Struthio camelus: one gene and its partners. The protein of the gene in region 1 interacts with the protein of each later gene in a pairwise test. Links are inferred from orthologs where the notes say so. Each region holds a gene or a part of one and is shown in the gene's direction. Other genes may lie near its edges. The genes, in order: BANP, SP2 and FHL2.

Region 1 (3,744 bases):
TACTATAATCTTAAGTGTTTGTGTTCTTTCAGGCAAACACTCCTTTTCAGCTTCTCTCAGAACTACCTTCAATCTTCCTCCATGCTCTCTTTTCATGCTTTTGCATATTTTTGTCGTTCCCAGAAGGTTTCCAGAAGGTTTTCCACCTTCTCCCAGTCATTCTGTTCTCATACCAAATGCAGGAATGAAAAGCAACAGAAAAAGCAGTCTGGTAAGCTAATTTAGCCAATTCCCCCCCCCCCCCCCTTGCTGCCTGTTCTTCAGCTGTGTACTGAGCGTGGTGACATCTCTCTTCTTAATATGACAGCTCCCATTCAGATCATCTCATTTCAGGGATGCAAGCGCTCAAGGTCCCTTAGCGGAGGGAGAAATTTAATAAAAGGACTTGAGAAAGGAGTAGGAAAAAGCAACGCGCCAGCCAGAGCAAGGAGTTGTTGAGTCTGCCCTCAGGCTTGCCTCCCACAGTTGTGTCAGGGCCGGGTTGGCGCCTCAGGAGGGTGAAACAGGGCGAATGAGGGAGAAAGAGGGAGGTAGGTGTTGAGGGGTTTGGGGGCATTGAGTGTGTGCGTGTGTGGGGGGGAGTTTGTATGTGGCGCATCCGTGTGGTGCGGACTACAACTCCCAGCGTGCACAGCCTCCGGCGCGTGTACTACAGGTCCCGGCCTGCTCGGCGGGGGCGGGGGCGAAGGGCCGGCGCGCTGCCCTCCGGGAGTTGTAGTCTGGGCCGGCAGCGCGGCGGTGAAGGGCGGCTGCCCGGCCGCTTCTCCCTTGCGCGTGCGCGGGCGCTCGGGGCGGGCGGGGGCCGAGCGGGAGCAGCGCGGCGGCGCCTGCGCGCTGCGGAGAGGGAGATCTCTCGCGAGGAAGGACGCCATTATCGCAGCCGCTCGACAAACACCACGAGAATTCGGCACCGCACACGGTAACCGCGGCGCCCCGCCGCCGGACGGCTGGGGCTGAGCTCCCGGGGGGCCTCACGCCGGGCTTACGGCGCCGGCCCTCGCAGCCTCCCCTCTCCTCACAGCGCCGGCCGAGCTCCCGCCGCCGTAAGGCGGCGGCTGCGGGGAGGGGCCGAGGCGGCGGCGGGGGAGGGGGGGGGCCGCGGGCCTCCGCCCCCCCCCTCCGCCGGGCGGGGCGCGGGGTGGGGGGGGGCGGCCGGGCTCTCGCCTCCTCCCGCCGCGGGACGCCGCCGCCGCCCGGCCCTCCTCGGGGGCTGCTCCTCGTCGCCTCGCCCCCCCGCCCGCCTTCTCGGGCCTGGGGAGAGAAGGGGAGCCCCCCCCCCCCCCCGCCAGGCTGGGGCGCCTCAGTCCTGGCGCCCCTCGCTGCCCAGCGCCGCGAGTGGGGGGGGGGGGAGGGGGGCTCGGCTGCTCCCCGGCAGCGCCGCCGGGCACCGTGCCCTCTCCCCCCGTCTGCCCGAGGCTTGTGTTTCCTCCTTTCTGAAGGACGGGGCAGGTCTGAGCCGCTTTCCCTCTCTGGGGGTGGCGCACACGCGGCGCTGCGGACAGGGGTTTTTGGGTGTCGCCGCGCGCCCTCCTCCCCCCGTCGTGATAGACGGTGAATAAGCGGTGACAGCGGCGCTGCCTCTGCCCCTTCGTCGTGCCGAGGGGTCTGCGGCTGTGCTCGCGCCTGCTGGGGGGGGAGAGGCGCAGTTCTCTCTGCGTGGTCATCGGGTCATAGCAGGGGCTTTTCACATCCGTATCTGGGGTGATGTTTTCCAGTGTTCTCACGGTAGCGACCTGTCTGACAACGCACTCCCAGTTATCTCTCTCTCTCTCTCTTCCCTTTTGTTCTTATTTCTAATTCGAATAGTGCATTTTTTAATTTTTCTTTTTTTTTTTCCTTTTTTTTAAAATCCTAGTTGAGTGGGAAGTTGTGCACTTAACCAAATATAGTAGCTTTATTCTGCTGTGGGTCATGCAGTTTATGTACCAATTTATTTTTAGTGCTCTCAAGGGAAGAATTTTTTTTTTTTTTAAGGAAACAAGCTTGGAGGGATATTATCAACCAAGTGATGATGCCAGTTGAAGTAACTTTCAGATTGTTGTAAAATGATAGTTTGGAGGGATTTTTGCTACTTTTTTGTTTTTTAATTCACTTATATGTGAGTTTACCTTAAATGTAGTACCCTATTGGTGTCAGTCTTTCAAGCAGCAAACATAAAACTTGTCTGTAGAATCTCAAATACTCAGGCAAGATCTGAAAAAAAACCCTTATCTTAAGCGTTAGTTCATTAGTAGTGTCTCTTGAAACAATGGATTTATTCTGTTAGAAGGTATTTATATATGCCAAATGAATATCCCAAGAAATCTTAACAGAATAACAAATTGATTTGGAAACTGTATGAGCCCTACTGTGTACACTAAATGATATCTTGGCTTTAGTTCACTTTTCAATAAGACATGAAAAGATGGTAAGAAGAAAGACTAATTTATTAAGAAGGGTAAAAGATTGAATTTGGACTTTAGAAGCATTAACATTCTCTCTGATTCAGAGGATGAGAATATTTTGTAACTTTTCTTTGTTTTGTAATTCATCATCTGACTTATTAGAACTGTAACTCGCTTTAATGTCTTAATTATCTAGCTGTGTTAAAGTTGTGTGGTTACAGGGCAGATCTTAAAATTTAAGACTTTTAAAGGAGTAATTGAGTAACAATGTCAGAAGTGCAGCAGTAGTACAGCGAGCAGTAACAGTATACAATTCTCAACAGTCAGGATTCCACCAGCACGTGTTTTGCTAAAGAAGTTTTACAAAGGTTTGTTTCTTGCATGTGGCGCTGTTCTTGGCGCAACGCAAGGTATATGTTTTATACTGTCAGGTGAAGAAAGCTGAGCTACGCCTAGCTCCTTGTAACCAGAAGTGATACTTAGAGGTTTACCTTGATTCTGCAAAGAGCAGTGCTCTGGCGTGGGGCTCAGACCCACATGAATTACATTAATATACTCACGTTTGCAAGGATTTTAGATTGTCTCTGCTCTTCGTCTTGAACTTTTTCCTGAACTTCTTAAGTTGATTCGCAGCTTATGCAGGAAGAATACACATCTCTGTTTTTTCACAATTTGCATGTCTGCATATCTTTCACTGAAGAATGACTTGAATTGAAATTCCTGTGATGCTCTTTCTAAAGTAATTGAAGGCTCATTCGTTTTAAGAGGAAGATGGGCATTTGTCTTTGTGTACAGAAGCTCTGGTCCCAGAGATCTACAGAATTTGTTTATGTGAATTGAACAGAACAGCAAAAGAGCTACTTGTAGTAGGAGACGATGCAAATCGAATGATTAGAATTAGAAGAACAAAATGTCTATGTATACTGAACTTCTCCAATAAAATTCTTTTCATGGATTTGATTTCCTTTAGTTTGGAACATGGTATTTAGCTGTTAACTATTGAAGTAATTTAATTTGTTTTCTGTTTTTTTTTTTTCTTTTTACGTTTTCATTGAAAAGCTAAACGTATTCTTTTTTTTAAGTAAAAATAAAAGAATAAAATGTCTTTCGAAGTCATGTCAAATATTTGTTTCATTGCAGTTTTAGGATTTTAAAGCTCCTATATGGTAGGCTTAACTGAGCACTTAATATTAGACTGCATGTTAAGGCATTAAGCGAAAGTGCACAAAAAAGGTTAACTTCTTAAAATCCTTTGCATATAGAAACTTTAAATAAAGTAATTTTCAGAGATGTCACCTGTTGGGCAAAATTCTTTTATCTTGGTTCATATTTCTAAAACCCTAACTTAGACCACTTAAGG
Region 2 (3,744 bases), on another chromosome or scaffold:
GCCCATCAGTAGAATGCGTAGAAGGTGAGTACGCTGCCCGGGCTGCGTGCTCGCCCCCAGGCCGCGTGCATAAAGGGGGCCTGCTGGGCTCTGGGCCCCATCCCATGCCGGCCCGCAGTCCCCGCAGCGACCCTGCAGCTCGGCCGGCTGCATCCATGGGGCGATTCACCTCCATAATAGGATAACGCACTGCAATTAGGCACCGAAATCCCCAGCGCGGCGCGAGGAATGCCACGTCGCCCGGCGTGGTGTGATCCGGTAATGAGAGACGCCGGGGACGCGCGGCGGGACGCGGGGCCGTGCCAGGAGGAGTGGAGGACTGGGGGCAGCAATGCTGTCCCCTCCACGGGCTGGGGGCCCAGGTGCTCCCACCCCGGCAGCCGCCTGGAGCTTGAAGAGGGACGGGATACCCACGGGTGGGTGCCAGGTGTGGCCGTGCCTCGAGAAACGCTGCTTTCGCCTGCCCAGAGCCTCTCTGGACTGGGTGGGGACCAAGGGCGGTGGCCCCCGCGGCGGCCCCCGGCCCCATCGCTTCGGACTCGGATCCCCCCCTCGAGGCGGGAGACGCCCCACGCGCGGCATCAGGGACACGACCCACGCGGGGGGCTGCAGCGCGACGGGCCCCGCGGGAGCCGAGTCTGCCGAGCGCCCGGAGGCAGCGGGCCGGGGGCGGCGCCGCGCCGCGGGCAGCGTTTCCACCCCCCGGGCCGGGAGCGCCCACGCGGGGCGCGCCGAGCCCCGGCCGCGGGGGGGATCCCCGGGACTTCCCGCGCGGGGACCCCGCTGGCGTCATCAGCCTCCCAACGTTCCAGAATCCCCCCCCGCTCCGCCCCTCCGCCAATCACAACTGGAGCGGGGCCGCCTCGCTGTTCCCCTTGGTGAATTTGCCTGTCAATCGGGCCTCGCCTCGGCCAACCGCGAATCTCCCCCTGGATGACGCCCGCCCACGAGGAAGTCCCCACCTCCTTCTCCCTTCCGGAACGCTGTCAATCAATCAGCAGGGGGGCGACAGGCTGGTTTTGCTCTCATTAGCCAAGAGAGCTGTCAATCAGAATTTTGTCCTCCCATTGGGTATCCGGTTTCCGTCCGTCATCCCTGAGGCCCGCGTCCATTGGCGGAGCTGTCACTCCATCACCGGGCCCCATTGCTCAGCGGCGCTGTCCATCAAGAAGCCATCCAGGGCGGATTGGTCGGCGATAAAGCATCCCCCCGCCAGTTGGCCGGAGCGCCGGCAAGCCGGGTGGGGATTGGCGGCCAGGCTGCGGAGGGGGCGGGCCATTCAGGGCGGTGCCCGAGCGGCCTAGGAGGAGGAAGATGGCGCCGTGAGGGGGGTCGGAGCCGCCGCCGCTCCGGCCGGTCTGTGCGGGCGCTCCGCGGGGCGGGGCGGGGCCGCGGCGGCGGACGGCGGGGCCGGCGGGGAGGAGGCGGCAGGGTCGGGCCGGGCCGGGTTGGGGCGGGGGGGGGGGGAAGAGGAGACGAGGCGGCGGCGGGGCCGGCGGAACCGAAGCCCGGAAGGGGCGTGCGGCCTCCGCGGCCCGCCCCGGCCCGCCCTTCCCGTGCGCCGGGCGGGCGGCGCTTCCGGGGCCCGGGAGGGGGCGGGCCCGCCGCCTCGGCCCGCCTCCCCGGGGACCCGCCGCCGCCGCCAGGGGCGGGGCGGCCCCGGGGCCAGGCGGGGGGCCCGGGCCGGGGGGGGGGTGTCCCGGTACGTGGCGGCGGGGAGGGGGCTGCGAGGGCGCCCGGAGGTGCCCGGTCTTTGGGGGGGGGGGTGGTGGTGCTGGGGCAGGGGCTGTCCCGGCTGGGGGGTCTCCGGGGCGGCTTTCGGCCCCGGTGCTGGGGGGGACCCGTGCAGGCGGTGCCCGGGCTGCTGGGGAGACTCGTCCCCGGCTCCCCGGGGAGTGCTTGGGGCTGGGGACACCCGTGCTGAGGGTGCTCGGGGCTGGGGACAGCTGTGCTTAGGGTGCTGGGGGTGCTCGGTGCTGGGGACAGCCGTGTGGAGGGTCCCCGGGGATGCGTGGGGCTGGGGACAGCCGTGGTGGGGGTCCCCGGGGATGCTCGGGGCTGGGGACAGCCATGTGGAGGGTGCCGGGGGTGCTCGGGGTTGGGGACAGCCGTGCCGGGGGTGCTCGGGGCTGGGGACAGCCGTGGTGGGGGTCGCCGGGGGTGCTCGGGGCTGGGGACAGCCGTGTGGAGGGTCGCTGGGGGTGCTCGGGGCTGGGGACAGCTGTGTGGAGGGTCCCCGGGGATGCGTGGGGCTGGGAACAGCCGTGGTGGGGGTCCCCGGGGATGCTCGGGGTTGGGGACAGCCATGTGGAGGGTGCCGGGGGTGCTCGGGGTTGGGGACAGCCGTGCCGGGGGTGCTCGGGGCTGGGGGCAGCCGTGTGGAGGGTCCCCGGGGGTGCTCGGGGCTGGGGACAGCCGTGCCGAGGGTGCCAGGAGTGCTCGGGGCTGGGGACAGCCATGTGGAGGGTCCCCGGGGGTGCTCGGGGCTGGGGACAGCCGTGTGGAGGGTCCCCGGGGGTGCTCGGGGCTGGGGACAGCCGTGCTGAGGGTGCCAGGAGTGCTCGGGGCTGGGGACAGCCATGTGGAGGGTCCCCGGGGGTGCTCGGGGCTGGAGACAGCCGTGCCGGGGGTGCTCGGGGCTGGGGACAGCAGTGTGGAGGGTCGCCGGGGGTGCTCGGGGCTGGGGACAGCCGTGGTGGGGGTCCCCGGGGATGCTCGGGGTTGGGGACAGCCGTGCCGGGGGTGCTCGGGGCTGGAGACGCCTGTGCCAGGGGTGCCGAGGGTGCTTGGGGCTGGAGACACCTGTGCCGGGAGTGCTCGGGGCTGGGGACACCCGTCCGAAGGTGCCGGGGGTGCTTGAGGTTGGAGACCCTCGTACCAGGGGTTCTCAGTGTTGGGGGCAGCTGGCGTCGAGTGCCAGTGGTACCCGGGGCTCTCGGAGCCCGGAGTGGGGGTGTCCAGCAGGGCGAGGTGGGGTACAGAGGTGTCAGCAGAGGGGTGCTGAGCCTGGGGGGGGTTGTGCATGTGCATGGGATGCAGAGGAGCCCAGAGCAGACATGGGGGGGCTGCGGCTAAGGGTGCATGTCGGAAGCATCCTGGGTTTGTGGGGAGGGGGATATGGGGGGCACATGGGGCTCGGGGGAGTGTGCCAGCGATAGAAGGAGTGTGGGGTGTGGGCACGGTACAGCGCGCGGTGCTGGGAGTACGTGGGGGACGTCGGGTGCTGACGTGTGTTGGAGACGCATGGGAGATGGGGTCCGGTGCTGTGTGGGGAAGGGTCTGGGCGACCGTGGGGCCCGTTTTGCCCCTGTAAAGGGCCCTGGGACGAAGAGGGGACTCGGGCTTGTCCCCAAGTAGGCACTTTGCAGCAAGGGGGGCTGCAGGGCCGAGCTGTGCCGAGGGTGCTGGCCCAGCCCTGGGCATGTAAGCAGGGAGAAACAGGCCAAGGTTTCTTTGGTCCCTGGACGGTGTAAGAAGCAACAGGATCTTGGCCGCTCAGGGAATGAGAGATTGATGCTGCTGGAAGTTTCCACACGGCCTCTCTCATCGCTCTGGGGGAGCTGCTGTTCAAGGGTGCCCTGTGATGCGTTTGCTTTCAAGCCATTAAAATCTCTCTCTCTCTCGTATATGCAGAGCTAGGAGCTGCTCCCTCCTCCTTGAAGCCGGTCCTGCAGCGTGCATGTGCATCCTTGGCAGCACTGCTAGCCAGGTTTGCCTTATTTAAGAGAATTAAGTTCTCCTGCT
Region 3 (3,744 bases), on another chromosome or scaffold:
GAGGGTCGTTTGCCTATTTGTGCAGGCTGCCTGATCTTGTTTCTTTACCTGCCTCTGTAAAAGAGAGGCTTTTCTTTTCCTCCTCTTGACATCTCACTGCCTACCTTCACAAGTGTAGACTCTCTACTTATCAGGTCAAACTCTTTATCTCATGTCCTGCTCTCCCTGCTCCCCAGACAGAGCAAAACCCCTAAAGGGCAATTCTCAGTCAGGTGGCCACAACAAAAGCGTAGAAGTCCCAGGTCAAATTGCAGGGAGGAACCAAAAGGACCCACAAGGCCGTCCTGACAGGAGAAGTGGCATGCAGTGAGGCAATTGTGTTTCATTCTGGGTGAAAAAAAAGGTTAAAATAGTTCAACTTCGGGCCAAGGATCATGTCTCTGCTGCAACATACTCCAGAGTAGTGCAATAAAGTGAGAGATGGACCTAGCAAGGAGATAGGCTGTAACCCTAATTCTGCATGGAGCCTTGCTTGGGCAGGTTTTCTTCTGAGGCCAGAGGGGCTTTGCCAATGTGAGTTGCTGAACTTTTTTCACCTCTAATCTCTCATTCCTTAAATGTGCGAATGTCCCCTTAACCTAACGTAACAACTCCATTACAGCAGGAAGGAAGCCCAGAGAGGAAAGCAGTCTCCTGAGTTATGAGTGCCCACTGCCAGCCTGGCACATATTTATTTCTTCACCTCAGGCTAGTTGCTAGAGCTTCTTTGTGCTGTAAAATGGTAGAACTAGCAATGCCTTCCCCCATACAAGGGGTTGCAAGGGTAAAACGTGGCAGAATATGAGGGACTCAGACTCCCTTTCAACAAGATGCATACCTGAGATTGATGAATGAAGGGCAAGTTAAAGTTTGTTACATCTTCAGAGCGGTTAGCATTTCCTAGAGTGTTTTTGTTAATCCCAAAGCTTTGACAAATCGTCTGATTTAGAAGCTAGACTCTTACAGCCCAGCTAAAATATCAGGCCATTAAATTACTCTCGTTCTTTGACAGTCCCTCCTAGAACCTCGCTACGCTTAGGTGAGCGTATTTTAAGGTCAGACATTCCCGAATCAAGCAGAGTAAAGGGCCAGGGTTGCTCAGGAGAGTGGCAGCCCTTTCCATTACAGGTCTTGTGCTACCGTTAACTATGATGCCTTAAAAGGCCAGGAGCACAGAGGTGATGCTGTTCTTATCTCCTGTGGATGGCTGGTACTTTGGAGATATTATATTTATAGCTTGTCTAAAGAACGAATGCCTGACTGTGTAATTACTAAATGCATAGTTTGGGTAATCCAATAAAGCAGTAAGTCGCTGCATTTGTCTCTGCCTTCTCTCATTCTCACACTAGCAAGCAGAGGCACCACCAAGTTGCAGCAAGGTAAGAAAACAACTTCTTTCGATTTTAGCTGTCTTTTGGCCCCTTTACTCCTTTTCATCCTCCCTTTCAGGAGGAGGGCTGGAAATTTGTCAACACTTTCTATGTAGAGATCATGAACGGAGTGCTTCTTTCTTGCAGGAAGAGTGGCTTTTCGGTTGTTTGTTCATTTTTCGCTGTCTGTCAGGGCACATACATAGTGTCTCACTTTGCATTTCTAGTCTGCTGTTGGGAACCAGGTGCTAAATAACAGCTGCTCTTTAGTTTCTGCGCTAATAATATGCTGTCATGTTTTCATGTTCTCAGGGAATACAACCATGTCTAACTAGAGACACTTTCCTGGTTTGAATAGGAAACTGAATGACTTCAGGCAGAAAGCTTTTGATTAGTTTTTTTTTCTCTATCAGCATTTTCTTCTTTAGGATGAATATTTGGAAATTGAACAGACAGTGAAAAAAAGGGGGACAGAAGGAACATTTATACTTTTTTTTTTCTGTCTTTGACACCGTTTCGTAATGGTCTTGAAAGAGAGAAAGGCAAATTACACACGATGCTTGCTGATTTTGTGTTTAAACAATTATTTGTTATGGATTACAGCAGCTGTGTGAAAGGGAAAAAGAAAGAAAAGCATTGAAACGTAACTGGGTGTCAAAGCAGGAATTCTTCAGAACTTGTCTGGAAAACAGCATTAGCAACAACTGCCAAATGCCAATTATCAGACCGTTGTTACACTAATTTACTTTTAACCTCATCTCATGAGAGTATTAATTTTCAAATGAAGCGAATAAAAGAAGACCTCTTTGGAAAAATAAGATTGTTTGTGCATGTGTGTATGTGCATTTAGATGCATTTATACATGCGTTTTTATTATAAACATTCTTGTAACAAGAGACTTTTTCAAGCAAGGATCACAAAGTATGAAAGGTAAGAAATATTAATTTATTTTTAGCCAGAGATCAGAAGGTATCATACTTTGCACAGAGTTTTATTTACTATTCCCTTATTTAAGTAAAGAAATAAAAGAAGGCTTATTTCCAAATTGCTGAGCAACCAGTGCTTCACAGACTCTGATAGGGATGTTGGCTCTCTGGAGAGCAGGACTCCTCAGGCCTGATCCACATCCAAGGCCTGTACAAATGGCTCATCTCACTTCAAAGCATTTGAGACTGGGCCTAATGCCTACGTGCGGATTTCAGAGGCAAAAGGAAAGATCCTTACTTGATACAAACTGTCAGACATCTATGGACATTGCTGAAATATGGATGTTTCCATCTACTGTTGATTGGCCTGTACATGTGGAAATGTTGGATCCAACCCAAAGGCGGTTGTAATAGTGAATGAAATATGCCCAGAAATACTTCTGCTGGGAAAAGTGGTCCTGGGGTCACCTGGTCTGAGCAGTCTGTGTCCATGCCATTATGCACTCCTGGTGTCTGAACAAAGTGGCCACATCTGAAAGGTATCCTGGGGTTGGGCTACCCACCTCCCAAACCATGCCGAGGATCTGGCTGGGAGAGGGCTAGCTGGCGCACGCCAAAACTGCGCCAGGGACAACTGACCAGCGTGGCCAAATGAGTTGCGGAGCCTGGAGCATCCTGTGGTCCTGTCTGATTTATGAGTATTGATGTAGCCCCTAGTGCACCCCTACCTGCATCTGAACTTGTTCTTTTACACGGCCTCAATTAATGTGTCTCATCCAGCTGAGCTATCCTGGCTTTCTCTGGTGGGGGCCTGTGACCGTCAGTGCAGACAATATCAAAAGAGCAAGCTTAGAAACTAGTTTGTTCCATATTTTGTGTGAAGAACAGCATATAACGTAAGTAGAAGAAAAAAGGAATGCAGAGTACCAAACTGGCTGCACACATCTATCTTATCTAAAGGCTTACTATCCCCTCACTGATGCCTGGGGAGGCTTAACTTCTTCAGATATCACAGTCAGAGCCTCTGCACATCCATCTGTTCTCCAGCAGTTACTGTCCCACCGCTGGCCCAGGATCTGTTCTTTTCAGATCCTTTCAGAGCTCCAACCTTCTGGTCCCCAGAACTGATAAAATGGGTTTTGTAAGTTGCCTGGCGTTCAAACGTAGGTGCTTCCCACTGAAGAGCGCAGTGTTGCCTCTAAGCAGTCCTCCAGTGTGGACTGGGAGACGCCTTGCCCAAGCCCATTGACCCATGTTGTCTTGTTTATCCAGGACCCTGCCATTAAGCTAAACTGACGCCACCACAGTAAATTGCATAATAAAGAAGTTACATACAAAACTAATATTTTTAATAGAGTAGCCTCGTTTCTGCAGTGCCAGAAATTTACTCATGTCCTCAAATTCTTTCTCTGTCATCCAAGCCTCAGGCAAAAACAATAGATACCACAAAATCTTTCTGGTTATGTACT

Evidence for each region.
Region 2: the proteins of BANP (region 1) and SP2 interact in binary tests that used the Homo sapiens proteins (3 or more experiments, as listed by UniProt). The two-hybrid records come from large-scale screens. The link is inferred for Struthio camelus from reciprocal best matches to the Homo sapiens genes BANP and SP2.
Region 3: the proteins of BANP (region 1) and FHL2 interact in binary tests that used the Homo sapiens proteins (3 or more experiments, as listed by UniProt). The two-hybrid records come from large-scale screens. The link is inferred for Struthio camelus from reciprocal best matches to the Homo sapiens genes BANP and FHL2.

What each region holds. Positions count from the first base shown.
Region 1 is NC_090951.1:3,025,223-3,028,966, reverse strand, and holds the start of BANP (protein BANP), read left to right. Parts: upstream 1-796; 5' UTR 797-919; intron 920-3,744. UniProt on the Homo sapiens protein: Controls V(D)J recombination during T-cell development by repressing T-cell receptor (TCR) beta enhancer function. Binds to scaffold/matrix attachment region beta (S/MARbeta), an ATC-rich DNA sequence located upstream of the TCR beta enhancer.
Region 2 is NC_090966.1:5,808,666-5,812,409, reverse strand, and holds the start of SP2 (transcription factor Sp2), read left to right. Parts: upstream 1-1,159; 5' UTR 1,160-1,356; intron 1,357-3,633; exon of another isoform or gene 3,634-3,709; intron 3,710-3,744. UniProt on the Homo sapiens protein: Binds to GC box promoters elements and selectively activates mRNA synthesis from genes that contain functional recognition sites.
Region 3 is NC_090942.1:154,186,492-154,190,235, reverse strand, and holds the start of FHL2 (four and a half LIM domains protein 2), read left to right. Parts: upstream 1-1,316; 5' UTR 1,317-1,358; intron 1,359-3,744. UniProt on the Homo sapiens protein: May function as a molecular transmitter linking various signaling pathways to transcriptional regulation. Negatively regulates the transcriptional repressor E4F1 and may function in cell growth.